2 linked regions of the Arabidopsis thaliana genome follow. The protein of the gene in region 2 interacts with the protein of the main gene of each other region in a pairwise test. Each region holds a gene or a part of one and is shown on either strand. Other genes may lie near its edges.

Region 1 (7,715 bases), on a different chromosome or scaffold from region 2:
GATCAAAGAATATTAAGTATTTAATATTTGCTAGAGAATGGCATGATCATGGGGTTTGGAGAGGAGAGTAGGTGGTTTTGTATGCATGTGAGTCGGTGAGGGTCAAAATCGTCTTTTCAATTTAAGATTTGATTATGTGGTCATTAAATAGTAACGTAGTGCCTAGTGGTATTGGCAGATCTGAGGTCAACATGTGATGTGACGAAGATCTTCATTTTCTTCGTAAACACACAGAATACTGAAGTTAGAAAAATGTCTTTTTCAGGTAATATTTACTCAGTAAAGAAAAAAGGCTGGTAAAAGTAAACTTTTAAGTTTGAACGTTAAAGTCAATTTAATAGTGTTTATTTATTTATTCGACATGTAGAAAATTAAACGATCTACGTAAAATATGAATACAAAAATATTAAATATTAGAATAAAGTGAGAGTATGTGTAAATCACGTTTTGGTGAATTTTTTCCATGTGGTAGAATAATAGAGGAGGACTTTTGTTGTAAAGTAAGCTTCACCAACCTCGATTTTTAGACCTGTATAATTGGAAACCCACCTACCTCCGCAAATACAACGAAAAGTATTGTCTTATAATACTTTCTTAATTAAATAACAATTCTTTTGGAGTCATATCATATATATACTCCTATTGTGGTGTCGACATGGTGACATACTACATAATGAAACCGGTGAGATTATTCTTCTGCTAAACTTGTATGATGACCGGTGAGATTATTCCTAAAATATATTAAAACCTAGAATGAATTCTTTCTTTTATACGTCATGGTTTGCTTACAAAAAGAAATGAAATACCAAATTTTCACGTTTTTCAAATAATTGTGTTGTCTTTTTCTGTTTTGAAAAATAGTTTTACCGGTATGTTATCACATTTAAAAATTTTAATAAATACTTCTCATATACTGAAAGAAGTAATATATTTTTATATCATATTTTATTATTTTCGATCGATTTCCAATAGAAACAATTTCGATAAAATTACATTTTTTTGTAAATAATATATAAATTTTTTGTAGATTACATTAATAGAACTGCTGAAAATGGTCTTTAAATCCTCTTCCTCTTCAACATTTTTCCAAATTTGACATTTTGACTCCGAATCTCACTTATAAGTTGTAATAATAATGTTCATTAGTGCATTAGTTTCCTCCTTCGTTGCCCAACAAAAGAATAAGCTATCATTGACAGTTTTATGATATTCGGAGTTCCAAAATCATTTTTCGAAACTCGGCCTTTTAAGGCATTTGGATCAAAACTTCGGTGCATATACTAAAAACATATGGATATATCGGGTTGAGTCGCCTCGTAGAATTCCTCGAGAAGATATATATTTTGACTTGGTGCTGGCCATTTGTAAGAATAGCATAAGCCACCAGTCACCAAGATTATTCATCGTAAATTGTAACAAACTCACCATTATTTGGAGAGCCCAAAGATACTACTCAATCTTCTTACCATAAACTTTTGTCACTGTCTTATAAGCTATAAGATTACTGGTCTACTTAACTCAGAAATATTTATGTCCTTTGTAGCCAAAAGCTACACTGAAATTGACACAACTCGAGTGTTGTCCTTTTCTGGTCGATTGAATAGAATCGAATGTCTTAATCCAGTACCCTCCAGCTTTTATTTCGTGTAATTTATTTTCCAAACCTACCACTACCAGTTTCATAACTCTCGAATAAATTTATCAAATAGTCTTTTGAGTGCTCAAAGTCTTGGGATAATAAATGGTCAGTGCTATGTATCACCCGGATGTGAAACATTATGGGTGGAGATAGACTATTATAAATTTATTGAAATATACGATTGTTACTCGTTTAATAGCAAAAGTAGTACAATGTATATAGTTTCTATCGAGAACAAGATCTATTTAAAATTCGAAAAGTACATTTAAAATTCATAAACATATAAAGATAGTAACATGTTAGATCTGCATAGTACCACCAAAACAAGAAAAAAGAAACGCACATCGCCACATAATTGCTATGATTCTCACTGTCGGCTGCTTTGAAATATTACGATTCTTTTGGTAAATCACACAACATAATATAATTACAATAAATATATATATACTAAAGTATAATTAATATAATTAATACCACATTGTTTAATTCTGTTTTGATCTTTTAAGATCAGTCAGATCCACCGACGTTCCTACACGCGCAGGTCCAGATCCAAACAGCACACACACACACACAATGCCACTAGTGTAAATGCTTGGTGGCTATTGCATTTGCACCTATTGATACTCTTTCTTCAAAAACAAGTTATTGTTTTTATTTTCAACCCAACTTTAATACGGATTCATACTGGGATTTAGGTGTTAAATCTGATAATTTAGGTTTGAATAAGTTGTATATTTGTTTCTTTGATTAAAAAAAGAACCTATATATATACAAAAATAAATAAAAAGTTCTAGATTTCAATTTTCCGTATATAGCGGGTTGAATTGTCTATTTTAATATGAAAATTGACGGATCTTATAAACAAAATGTTCTGAAATATGTAAAAGGATTTAGCCAAAGTTAACCAAAAAAAAAAAACAAACAGAAAAGTCACATTCACATGTCGTGGTAGATCTAAGGCATTAATTTAGAAATATGTCGTTACAATAAGCGGAGAACATGGGACGTTTCTCGTGGTCCAATCAGACGAACGAGATCTCATAAATTAAATGACTTCAGACGAGGGAATTCATGGCAGAATGATAATGCAACTTAAGTGACTTTAGAGTGAAAATGATACGAGAACAATGCATAATCCATATGACCGTTGAGTGAGTGATACCATTAGCGCGATACAAGCGGGACTATAAACTGATCTAGATTGTTTTTCTTGGGAAAAAATGTTACAAATTTTAAATATGTAGTTTGAATTGTTAAACCAAGATTCAACAGAAATATACCGTAAATAAACAACAGTTGATAATAGTCATCGAAAAGATATCAACTGATTCTTCACTTGGGCTACTGTGACGGCCCGTTAGGGTTCTCAATATAAGTCAATAACTACGATCTACGATTCACTGAAACAAATAAAACACAGCCACGTGTCCACCCTCCCACATCACCGTCCGATCTAACCCACGACAAGCTTACAACACGGGTCATACCGCTCGTGCAGCGTGTTCCGTCATCCACGGGATTACAACTTCTACCAGATCCACCAAACCCTCAAAACAATCTGAACCGTTCATTTCATTTTGACCTCATCTATATATTCTCTGTCACTCCCTTTCTCTTCTCCTCGCACACACTTCTCTCTCTCTCTCTCTCTGCCTCCTTTCGGATTCAAATCTCAGATCTAGCTCAACCATGGCGTTGCTCGTCGAGAAGACCTCAAGTGGCCGTGAATACAAGGTCAAAGACATGTCTCAAGCCGATTTCGGTCGTCTCGAACTCGAGCTCGCCGAAGTTGAGATGCCTGGACTCATGGCTTGTCGTACCGAATTCGGACCTTCTCAGCCATTCAAAGGCGCTAGAATCACCGGATCTCTTCACATGACCATCCAAACCGCCGTACTCATCGAAACCCTAACTGCTCTCGGTGCTGAAGTCAGATGGTGTTCCTGCAACATCTTTTCCACTCAAGACCACGCCGCCGCAGCCATCGCTCGTGACTCCGCCGCTGTTTTCGCCTGGAAAGGTGAGACTCTTCAGGAGTACTGGTGGTGTACCGAGCGTGCTCTAGATTGGGGTCCAGGTGGTGGTCCTGATCTGATTGTTGATGATGGTGGTGACGCTACTCTTTTGATTCATGAGGGTGTTAAAGCTGAGGAGATCTTTGAGAAGACTGGTCAAGTTCCTGATCCTACTTCTACTGATAACCCTGAGTTTCAGATCGTGTTGTCTATTATCAAGGAAGGTCTTCAAGTTGATCCTAAGAAGTACCACAAGATGAAGGAGAGACTTGTTGGTGTCTCTGAGGAAACTACCACTGGTGTTAAGAGGCTTTACCAGATGCAGCAAAATGGAACTCTTTTGTTCCCTGCCATTAACGTTAACGACTCTGTCACCAAGAGCAAGGTATTGATCTTCAGATTTGTTTCTTTACTAGTGATGATAAATCTGCTAGGTCTTTAGCTCTGTAGTTTTTGATGCGATAGGCTTAACAACAACATAATCACTAAGTAGAAGCAAGCTTTTCATTGTTGGTTGTTGAAAGTATTACGATCTAGTAGAGAAAAGTCCTTCCTTGGTTACAGAATTTGCATGAAAAGTCAATATTTCTCATGCTTTCTTTGATTTTATATTCAACGTTTTGTTTACACTTATGTGCTGTTACTGATAAATTCATTTGTTCTTGATTTACAGTTCGACAACTTGTATGGTTGCCGTCACTCACTCCCTGATGGTCTCATGAGGGCCACTGATGTCATGATCGCTGGAAAGGTTGCTGTTATCTGTGGATATGGTGATGTTGGAAAGGGTTGTGCTGCTGCCATGAAGACTGCTGGTGCTAGAGTCATTGTGACTGAGATTGATCCCATCTGTGCCCTTCAAGCTTTGATGGAAGGACTTCAGGTTCTTACCCTTGAGGATGTTGTCTCAGAAGCTGATATCTTTGTCACCACCACCGGTAACAAAGACATCATCATGGTCGACCACATGAGGAAGATGAAGAACAACGCTATTGTGTGCAACATTGGTCACTTTGACAATGAGATTGACATGCTTGGACTTGAGACTTACCCTGGTGTGAAGCGTATCACCATCAAGCCACAGACTGACAGGTGGGTGTTCCCAGAGACCAAGGCTGGAATCATTGTCTTGGCTGAGGGTCGTCTGATGAACTTGGGTTGTGCCACTGGTCACCCAAGTTTCGTGATGTCTTGCTCTTTCACCAACCAGGTGATTGCCCAGCTCGAGCTCTGGAACGAGAAAGCAAGCGGAAAGTACGAGAAGAAGGTGTACGTTCTTCCCAAGCATTTGGATGAGAAGGTTGCATTACTTCACTTGGGCAAGCTTGGAGCCAGGCTTACAAAGCTGTCAAAGGACCAATCTGACTACGTCAGCATTCCAATTGAGGGACCATACAAGCCTCCTCACTACAGGTACTGAGAGAGAGAGAGAGTCGACAAAGCGGTTCAGGTTCGGATCTACTTGTGGTTTTGTGTTGGGTTGTGGTGGGAGAGTGGAACAGTTTGAGATATTGGTCTTCTGATGAAGTTGACCAAATATCAGTATTAATAAGGGTTATTGGCTTTTGAAGGTTGTGCTTGTTTTCTCCATTTTTCATGAAACTTAAATTAGTTTTTGGTTTAGTTTCCCTCTTGATTTTATTTTGTGTGTTCTGTTTAGCGTTGTACTCTTCAAACAAATGAGAAACCAAAAAAAAAGGGGAAACTTGTTTTCGGCATCCCAGTGTTAGCGACTTTTGTTGAATGAATGTCTCAAATGCTCATCTTTAATAATGTGTGTTAGGACACGAACAACACATGGTTCGATTCGTGGGGGATTTTATGGTTGTAGTTATTATCGTACACGTTTCAAAGTTCTCTTAAGTATTCAAAAAGGCTTTTCCAATATAAATTTTTGATAGCATTTAGCTATAAGATTCGTTTTCATTTTCTTCAATTCTATGTCATCACTGATAAAATCTGCTTTGAAAATTTCAAAATTTATTACTTTTGCAAGAAGAATGTGAACGTTCCTACAAAGAGAGGGGTAGAAAATAAAAACTGGACTCGAAGTAGGAACCCAAACCCGACTGAAAATACTCAAGAGTCCAAGCCCGTTCTAGATAAATACCAAAATGGGTCTTAAGGCTTGGTATTCGGGTACATGATAATATCTGATCCGAACTGAAACATGAACTGTTTACCCGAAACCAGTGGCGGAACTACGTAGGGGGCAGGTTAAAATTCAAAGTGGTGAACGAGTACGGCCTCGAGAGTTTATGGAGTAAGATTCGAATTAGCGTTTCCTACGAAACGCATGAAACCAGTACGTTCGACCAAGAATGATGAGGAGGTTCTTCTGGTTCTCGATGCAAACTTGGGCTTGTACAACTTTGAGTGTAGTACTTGAGAGGAATTAATCTAGAAATCCACGGTGTTGAATTCGACAAATTTCTACGTCTTATCACCAAAACTCATACGTTATAGAGATGAATTGAGGACCTCCAATGTTCATTTCTTTGGAGTTTATAGATTTGGTGGTTTATTTACATTGTTAAGACTACTTTCTTGATTTTCTATACTTACTAAAAATAAACTATAGATGATTTGGTGTTATTAATGATAATTTTAATACTGCTTCCCTTTCTTTCATGCCAATCTGAAACACATCGCTGAGAATTTCCAGGACTTATTGCAAGTTTAATTTGCTTTCTCACGATTTTTCCTTTGCTCGTGTAATTAGCAAAAATCTCAGAATCCTAAGTGAAAAGATTCTAATTTGGTCCAAAAGCACCCAAAAACAAGCAAACAAACACCCAAATTTATCAATCAATCTACCAAAAAAACTTAATATAATTTATAGATCTCAATAATTGAACATTGATAACCAACTAGTGGCAGAGTTACATATATTATAACAATTCTTATGTCAAAAACACATATATAACAACAGCAATGCAAAAGCTTAATCATATAATTTACTTGCCTCGGCCAAAAAGCTTCCAATTTTGGCAATTTCTTGGATCTTACCTTCATGTGTTGATGTCGTTTGTGTCTCTAGCGCATCTGGTAATGGTGTCACAGCCTCTGCTGTAAGAATTAGCTTGTCCAGAGCGACAATCGTAGTAAGAAGCTCCTGGTTTCTGACAAGGAACCATGTCTCTCCTTAGCGTTTCGTAGCCGATGTACCGTTTCTGCGCCATCAGTACTCTCCGGCTGATCTCAGTTGGCATTAGATCTTCATCTTCTCCGATGATACTGTTTCGGATCAACATTGCGTCGATCTCTCCGTTGGGAGACGGAATCGGGAACGCATCGGCGGAGATTAAGAGGAAAAGAATGGCGAAAATCACCAACGCTGTAGAGTTAAACATGTCGATGTTGGAAATTGCAGATTGTGCCGACGCGATCTCTCTCTATTTCTCTGTCTCTAAGCAGAAGAAGAAGCAGAAATGGGGTTAGTTGGTGAAGAAGAAGAGGTGACAAATGTACAGTCAACTTAAACCGGATTTAGGTTTTGGTTTAAGTGTTCGGATTTAGATCGGCCACTCAATTTAAACCGGCCGGTTTGCGAAACAATTAAAGTAGATTCTATCAACGTTTAGAAGCAAGTCTTATACAATTGTAGTCAGCTTAACTATTTATCTAAACAGGAAAAAAAATTATAACCCCTTCAGATAAAATGGTGGTCAACAAAACTATTTAATCATAATCATGAACCTGAGCATAAATTAATAACAACCCCTTTGACCAAATCATCATTGTTTAAATAACCAAATAAGAGAAAGAAATAATAATAAATATAAGCCATAGTATAGAAAAACCATAGCCAAAACATAAACAGTCAATTCCCAACATCAAAATATATCAAAAAGAAAGGTAAATTGGGTTGTATAATTTCATAAGAAATGTTGAAAGGAAACCACTTGAATCTCAAAGAGAGTCAATAACATCTTTCAGATTTTTGTAAAATCTAATATTCTTACTATCAGTGTACTTTTCTACAGTTTTTTTTTGGTTTCTCAAGAATATTCTAACAAACTTTTGTTGTATTCTCTAGCAACATAAACAATGGCCACTCA
Region 2 (8,197 bases):
ATCGGAGAATCACATAACTAAGCACAGATGAGAACGCAAACAAATGATTCAAGACTCAAATAGGCAGCAATGGATCTCGATAATCATAATCCAAAGGATCACCGGAATAAAAGATCGGAGAAGAAGTAATGGATTGGAGGATTCAAATGTGAAAAGCGCAAGATCGTCGAGACAGAAGAAATCGCCTCGGAGTGAGAGAGAGCTCCTTTCGCTGTTTCAGTGTCACACTGCTTATCGGGATCTGAATGCTTAATTTCATCTGACCGGTTTTTATAATTTATTGATATCCGGTTCATTTGACCATGGCCGTTTAAGAACATAGGCTGATGCCGTTTCTTATTTTCAGACACTAACTTTGTGCCGTTTTATTTCATGGAAATCGAAATGTTCTCTGCTTCTCTGCTGGAGCTAGAGAAGGTATAAAAGTAAACTTTTTCAGGTCCAACGCAGCAAAAAGTCTCCTCTTTCCTCTCTTTCTCTCTCTGCGTCCTTCTGAGGCTGGAAGCGATGACCATGACAGCATTTCTCGCGAGACGGCTTATCGGTAACGGATCGAGCCAGATTCTCGGGACTTCGAGTTCTAGCTCCGGTCCGTTCATTTCCGTTTCTAGGGCTTTCTTCTCCTCCTCCACTCCGATCAAAGCTACTCTCTTTCCCGGTGATGGGATCGGTCCCGAAATCGCTGAATCTGTCAAGCAGGTCCCTTTTTTCAATCTACTTTGGTGTTGTGTAATTTATGTTACCATATAAATTTTGTTATAGATTCTGGATACTCTTAGGAACCATAATGTCTGAATACTTTTTGAGACGTGTCAAGGGAGAGATTTGAATCATAAAGTTTGTTTTTTTTAGTTTATAGCTGATGGTTCTGAAAATGTTTTCCCTTTATGCTGATCCAGGTGTTTACTGCCGCTGATGTGGTTATTGATTGGGACGAACAGTTTGTTGGTACTGAAGTAGATCCTAGAACCAATAGTTTCTTGACATGGGATAATCTTCAATCTGTGCTTAAAAACAAGGTTGGTTTGAAAGGACCAATGGCTACTCCAATTGGAAAGGGTCACCGTTCCTTGAACCTTACTCTTAGGAAAGAGCTGAATTTGTATGCCAATGTTAGGCCTTGTTACAGTCTTCCTGGTTACAAAACCCGTTATGATGATGTTGATCTCATTACCATTCGTGAGAACACTGAAGGAGAGTACAGTGGGCTTGAACACCAGGTTAGTCTATTGTTCTGTCATTTTAGTGAATCTGTATCTAGTATCATTTTTAGAGCCATGTTGATGATTTGTCATTTTTATTTGCTAGGTCGTCAAGGGTGTAGTGGAAAGTCTTAAAATTATTACCCGTAAGGCGAGTATGAGAGTTGCCGAGTATGCCTTTCTTTATGCCAAGACTCACGGAAGGAAGAAAGTTTCTGCAATTCACAAAGCCAACATTATGCAGAAAACTGATGGTCTTTTCCTGCAGGTCAGCTCATTTTGGAACTCAGAATACATTAGCACTTCTCAATTAGGGGAACATAGCAATTTTTCTAGTCTCTCACTGGCTTCTTTTTCTTAACCTTTGTTCTGAGACAAGTTTTTATTTGCTTCCTGCTTTGCAGTGTTGTGATGAAGTTGCTGCGAAGTATCCTGAGATATATTACGAGAAGGTTGTTATTGACAATTGCTGTATGATGGTAAGCTATAACATGATATCCACCCTATCTTTTGTTCCAAATTATGTAAAGGTCAATCTCATTGTTAATTAAGTTAGTATTTGGGATAATCTTGTTGATTTTGAAGGTTAGATTTCCCAGCAACCCATACTTGGGTCTGCTTTTCGCTAATTTTACTTATGGAACAATGTGGGATTGATAATCTTAATTCTGACAGCTTGTGAAAAACCCAGCACTTTTTGATGTCTTGGTGATGCCAAATCTCTATGGAGATATTATCAGCGATTTGTGTGCTGGACTTGTTGGGGGACTAGGACTGACTCCTAGGTAACATTTGTTTCTTCGTCTCACAGATTATTGTCTAGTATGAAAATGAGGCAATCATCTTATGCTCTTATTATGTTTTGTTCCAGTATGAATATTGGGGAGGATGGTATTGCCCTTGCTGAAGCTGTTCACGGCTCTGCACCTGATATTGCTGGAATGGTTAGTCATCATTCTTAGATGTTATCATCGTTCTAAATTCGTTTGATGCATAGAGTTGTTGTTAACTTGTTAAATTATTAGAGTAAATAGGATTTAGACACTGCATTACAGATTTTGACAAATTTAAGTGAACTTGCCTACTTTTACCCTAAAACTAAGTATGATAGAAGCTGTTCCTGAGAGAAGATTCTCCATTACTCTCTTCTATGCCATTTCTTGGTTGAACATTCAGAAGCTTTCATTGTAGAATGGATTATTGTCTAGTTTATATTGTAGAATGGTTCTTACTGGATGATCGTGCTTGTAGTACTTGAATGATGTTAATAACTGGCCAACCTAGCATTGAGGGTTAAGGAGTCTAATAAATAAATCATGTTTTCAAATACAGTGGGTTTAGATATTATCTTGCCACTATTCAATATCAGAACTTGATTCGATTTTTAGCTTATGATCCACATGTTTGTTATTCTTTGCTGGTGTTGTGTAGAACCTGGCGAACCCAACAGCTTTGCTACTGAGTGGAGTGATGATGTTGCGGCACCTGAAGCTCAACAAACAAGCAGAGCAAATCCACAGTGCCATCATCAACACAATAGCCGAGGGAAAGTATAGAACTGCTGATCTCGGAGGTTCCTCAACTACAACAGATTTCACAAAAGCCATCTGTGATCATCTCTAAACACCCGTGAAAAACCATAATTCTTTCCTTACTTACTTATTGGATCTTCCTCTTGGATTTTCACTCCAAAATTTTTCTACATATTGATCCTCTTCCTATGAGGAGAAACAAAGCCGCCATAGGCTTTAGACATTGACTTGTGTTTTCCTTAGATTTGAAGTTCTTGCAGAGCTGTATTACTTCTTCTGCCTTTAAGATCCATAACAAAAGAAGGATACAGATATTGGAAGAATCCATCAAAAGGTTCACATTTACAGTTTGTGGATTTTGCCTGAATTGTTTGGCGTTATGTCTTATTCTCTGTGAATTTTCAACAATAATAATATCGTCCCTTTTGTCCTTACCTAAATTGTTTGCCTATTCTCTGTGAATGAATGAATACATAACTCTCAAACCCTGAAAAGTGAAAACTTTCAATGCTGAAACAAACCAACGTGGATGATTCAGGACTTTTCAATGCCACCGACAAATTCAATCTTTTTCCTATTCATTTTGTAAGTTGCAATGCTGTCACATTTGGTTTTCTCATTGTTTTTAACTCTCTCTTAAAGAAACAACTTAATTAGAATTTTTATGTTCTTACAACAAGATCCAATAGACTTTTGGACATGTGTTGACACTTTTCTCAAGTGGGTTGGTGGGATAGGGACGTATATAGCTGCATTTGACAACAACACTACTCTATTTCATCAATTATTTCGTTACTCATAAATTTTGTTTCAGTTAACTTTTCTCTACAAATGAAGTTGAATGAAATGAACTATACTAAAATTTGGTTTAATATAGAATTAGAAATTCCAATGGCAAATTTATGCATGATTTTGAGCTAATATATAAATATACATTATTTTGCCCAAAAAAAAAGATAAATATGCATTAAAAAATAATATATATAAAATAATAGGAAGAAGAAGAATCTATCTTTGGTATACCTACTTTGGTTTCAGAGCTTATAAACACAAACACTTCACTCACACAAAACACTTGCTCCTCCATTTACCAGATCTGAACCTCTTCCCTTTCCTCGAAAATCCTTCTAACATCATCATCCATGGCTTCCTCTGATTTCGATGGAATCCTTTTGGGAATGGGAAACCCACTCCTCGACGTCTCTGCCGTCGTCGACCAACAGTTTCTCGACAAGTAAGCTCAGATCCGGATCGTTTTCGCTCGGATCTAGATTGTTTGTGTTTACGATATTCTTTATGGGTTCTCTGAATTCTAATGCTTTCTTTTGAATTCGTGACAGATACGACATCAAATTGAACAATGCGATTCTCGCAGAGGACAAACATTTGCCCATGTAAGTGAATTCACTTTTTCTCAATCCTAGCGTGCATTTGAATTCAAATGGTGATAATGAGGATTGATTAGTATTTACTCTTCAAGTTGTTCTGTAATTGATGTGGATATGTATATGTAATCTGCGTAGAAGAATTATGATTTGATTGTGACAAGTGCTATGTTTAAGGGAAACAGACACAAGTGTGGTGATTTTTCATTGCCCTTAAGTGATTCTTGATGTGATTTTAATATGACAGTGATTATTTTTCAAATACTCTTTGTTTATTCACATGATAATTGGTATGTTTAGGTACGATGAAATGAGCCAGAAGTTCAATGTTGAATACATTGCTGGAGGTAATTCATCTTTTGAGCTATCAATAGACATTTGGTGTTCATGTGTATTTGCAGTATTTTTGATATTTTCTTGATTTCGTTTGGCTTTCAGGTGCTACCCAGAACTCAATCAAAGTGGCCCAGGTAAAGGATAATTACGGTTTCTACTCATACTTGTTTTGAAGTTAGTACCTTTTTTTGCTAAATGAATGGTATCTTTGATTACTGCAGTGGATGCTTCAAGTTCCTGGGGCAACCAGTTACATGGGATCCATTGGAAAGGACAAATACGGAGAGGCAATGAAGAAGGATGCTACAGCAGCTGGTGTCTATGTGAGTCTGCTTTATGTTTATCAATTATTAATTATTGGTGGTTGGTTTTGCTTCATGTTCAATCATCAGGAAATAGACTGTTAATCTGCGCTTGTTCTGTATCCAGGTCCACTATTACGAAGATGAGGCAACACCTACCGGAACTTGCGGTGTCTGTGTTCTTGGTGGAGAAAGGTCAGTTTACAATAATTCTTTCTATGTCTGCTTATCATTTGTCTTAATAAGATGTGTTTCTGCTGAGTTGTACTGAGGCGTGTTTCCCCTTTTGCAGATCGCTCATTGCCAATCTTTCTGCTGCTAATTGCTACAAGGTTGAACACTTGAAGAAGCCTGAGAACTGGGCTCTGGGTACAAAACTCATCTTCTGACCTTTTTATTCTGAGATCGGATATTGTCATATGTTGGAGTTATCTGAGATTTTGTGAAACATATTTCTTTCTTGGCAGTTGAGAAGGCCAAGTTTTATTACATTGCTGGATTCTTCCTCACGGTATCACCAGAATCCATTCAGTTGGTACGTGAACATGCTGCTGCAAACAACAAGGTATGAATACATGATCCTTTATGAGAGCCAGGCACAGTGATTTGTTTCTCCTACCAGTGTTGTCTTTGGCATGAACAGTCCTGATATGCTCACATATTTGACAGGTGTTCACGATGAACCTTTCTGCTCCATTCATCTGTGAATTCTTCAAAGATGTTCAGGAGAAGTGCCTGCCGTAAGCACATCCTAATCTCTCGATCCATTTATTCCATCTTATAATTGCCTAAACTAATCACTGGCGATATACTGAAAAGCAAGACGCTGCATCTAATGTCTTGCTTGGACCAGGTACATGGACTATATTTTTGGCAATGAGACCGAGGCAAGAACCTTCTCCAGGGTTCACGGCTGGGAGGTAACTGTCGAAATTTCACCCTGTATTGTTTGAAGAAAGACAGTTTATTAATCTGTTTGGTTATATTTTATACAGACTGATGATGTTGAGCAAATAGCCATCAAGATGTCCCAGTTACCCAAAGCCTCTGGAACATACAAGAGGACTACTGTGATTACACAAGGCGCAGATCCTGTGGTTGTCGCTGAGGATGGAAAAGTGAAGAAGTACCCAGTCATCCCTCTCCCCAAAGAGAAGCTTGTTGACACCAACGGTGCAGGTATTTGTTAAGAACTCAGGCCTCACTAACTGCACTCTAACTAAGTCACAGCAGCTCGAATTTGCTACATTCCGTCCTAGATTAGATACAGCTTAACTTATAGCTAAGAGTTAAAAGCTTATTATTGTTTGATGATATCAACCACTCATCTAATTATAGCATAAAAACTCTTATCCAAATCCAGGTTTACCAAACCGTTTGCTTTGTTATATTGTAATAAGAAGATTATCATACATTTTGTATCAGTCTCAAGTAAACTAATTCCGGTGGTTTAACCCTCTTGGTTCTCTGTGTTCATAGGTGATGCATTTGTGGGAGGGTTTCTGTCCCAGCTGGTGCACGGAAAGGGGATTGAAGAGTGTGTGAGGGCAGGATGCTACGCGTCAAACGTAGTGATCCAGAGGTCTGGTTGCACTTACCCTGAGAAACCAGACTTCAACTAAATCTAGAAGTCGCACAAATCATCCTTTTAGTTTTATCTCTGAATGAGATTTTGGTGATTATTATTATACGACCCAAATAAACTCTATGTTGTTTTCTTGTATCACCTTTTGAGGCTTTAAGCTATTATTGAGTGTGTGTTTTGGCTTGGTTTTATTGTACCTTTTTATGATTAATAAATATTATTACTATACTAGGCCGAGTATGATATTCCAAATGTCAAAATGTTCATAACTTGTTATATCTTCATGGATGTAATTATCCTCTATTTTTGTTTGAACTTGCTTCATTTCATGAAATAATTGAATGATCATTATTCCCTATAATGTACATTACTGTTATATTAACTAGTTTCTCTGTTCGAATTCTATTTGGTTCGGTTCAACGAAACAACATTGGACATTCCTATGCAAAGAAAATTTGCAGAATCTTTTGTGTCGGCACATGTATAGAACAATTTCTATTGAATCATGGAAATGACAAGTATAATGTCTCGTTTTGGATGTATTTGATAATGTAAAGTAGGACCAGTATGACTCGTAAAAGACTTTTGACTTTGGACGATATCAACAACTTTGACTTTTACTTCACTTGTACAGTTCTACTTTCTTATCTTCTACGTATACTAATCAAACGAATTTGTGCATAAATTGGCATGGGAAAGGCCACGAGTCAAATATGATTTGATCCATTTTAGTTTTAACATCTATTGGTACGTACGTGAAGTTACGAGATTTGAGTGAAGGCGAATAATATCAATACGAAAAGTACAAAACCGGGATCAAACCGCAAATTGTAACACAGCAAGCGTAAGCAACACGACAAAGTGGTATGGATTAGTTTAACATAATCGTATAAATAGGTTAAGTTACCAAGGTTTAAGGTATCTCAACAAGTGGTACAAATTACCAAACAAGATTTTAAGAAACATATAGATCAATCGGGATTCGGAAACCAATACCGAGGATTTCTTTAATTCATTATTTTTTGTGTGAAAATGCTAAACTTTGTCGTTAAATTTATGTACTCTAGGTTCTAGGAAGATTTAGGAAATCTCCTAGGTGACCCAAGTGAAATATCCCTTCCACTTCCCCATTGCAAATCTCATGATTACCATAAACAAATAAGATTAGTAGTAGAGAACTATGCTTGTTAACATAAACATTAATGTAATTATGTAAGATTATATTTTGAACCACTTTGGAAAGTGGAAACCATTTTGGCATCATGGGCCGACTCACCCACCTTAAGAATAAAACTTCGTATTGTTATAGATTTTCAATCACTGATATTTAACAATGGTTTTTTTTTTTTTGCAACAGATGGTTGATGTTAGATGATAGTAAGTTAGTACCATTAAATATAAAACAACATTAATGAATACTTGAAAATTATAAAACTGTGACTATATTATCTATACATAATCTATAAAAAATATTTATTTTTCAAAAGCTCAAACATTGGTTGAGTTGTCTATCATAAATGCATAATCATATACATCTTGAGTCACTCACCGTCGTTTATTGTAGACTTTGTAGATAGTTTTATTTTGTATGTTAAAACGTTTCACCATCGTTTATTCGCATTCCATTAATTTGAAGATTTATTCTGTCATAGTAAAATTCCCTAAACAATAGAAAATGATGTTGTTGAAATAAGTAAGATTTTATTACTAAATAAGACCATAACTCATAAGTGATTTAGATACACTGATCGATCTGTTGGCTACTTTTCTAAGCACCTCACCGTTGAACAAGTCAAAGGAAAAAGAAATGAAAACGTTGTTTTTATGTGTGATTGTGTGTCTAATAAAAGAATAT

What was found.
Region 1: the proteins of ADK1 (region 2) and HOG1 interact in a protein complementation assay, tested with the Arabidopsis thaliana proteins (one study listed by BioGRID).

Annotation. Positions count from the first base shown.
Region 1 is NC_003075.7:8,051,603-8,059,317, forward strand, and holds HOG1 (S-adenosyl-L-homocysteine hydrolase), read left to right. Parts: upstream 1-3,070; 5' UTR 3,071-3,328; coding exon 3,329-4,039; intron 4,040-4,327; coding exon 4,328-5,074; 3' UTR 5,075-5,104; coding exon of another isoform or gene 5,105-5,161; 3' UTR 5,162-5,550; downstream 5,551-7,715. Other genes in the region: RALFL31 (ralf-like 31), read right to left, coding at 6,666-7,007; AT4G13955 (defensin-like protein), read left to right, coding at 7,705-7,715. UniProt on the Arabidopsis thaliana protein: Essential protein during embryogenesis.
Region 2 is NC_003074.8:3,008,246-3,016,442, forward strand, and holds ADK1 (adenosine kinase 1), read left to right. Parts: upstream 1-3,534; 5' UTR 3,535-3,876; coding exon 3,877-3,968; intron 3,969-4,074; coding exon 4,075-4,128; exon of another isoform or gene 4,129-4,399; coding exon of another isoform or gene 4,400-4,419; coding exon 4,420-4,466; intron 4,467-4,557; coding exon 4,558-4,589; intron 4,590-4,676; coding exon 4,677-4,778; intron 4,779-4,884; coding exon 4,885-4,952; intron 4,953-5,049; coding exon 5,050-5,126; intron 5,127-5,224; coding exon 5,225-5,322; intron 5,323-5,426; coding exon 5,427-5,497; intron 5,498-5,610; coding exon 5,611-5,677; intron 5,678-5,752; coding exon 5,753-5,936; intron 5,937-6,236; coding exon 6,237-6,379; 3' UTR 6,380-6,699; downstream 6,700-8,197. Other genes in the region: AT3G09800 (SNARE-like superfamily protein), read right to left, coding at 103-320; IDH-VI (isocitrate dehydrogenase VI), read left to right, coding at 508-699, 900-1,220, 1,309-1,470, 1,607-1,681, 1,878-1,987, 2,074-2,146, 2,634-2,825. UniProt on the Arabidopsis thaliana protein: ATP dependent phosphorylation of adenosine and other related nucleoside analogs to monophosphate derivatives. Essential to sustain methyl recycling.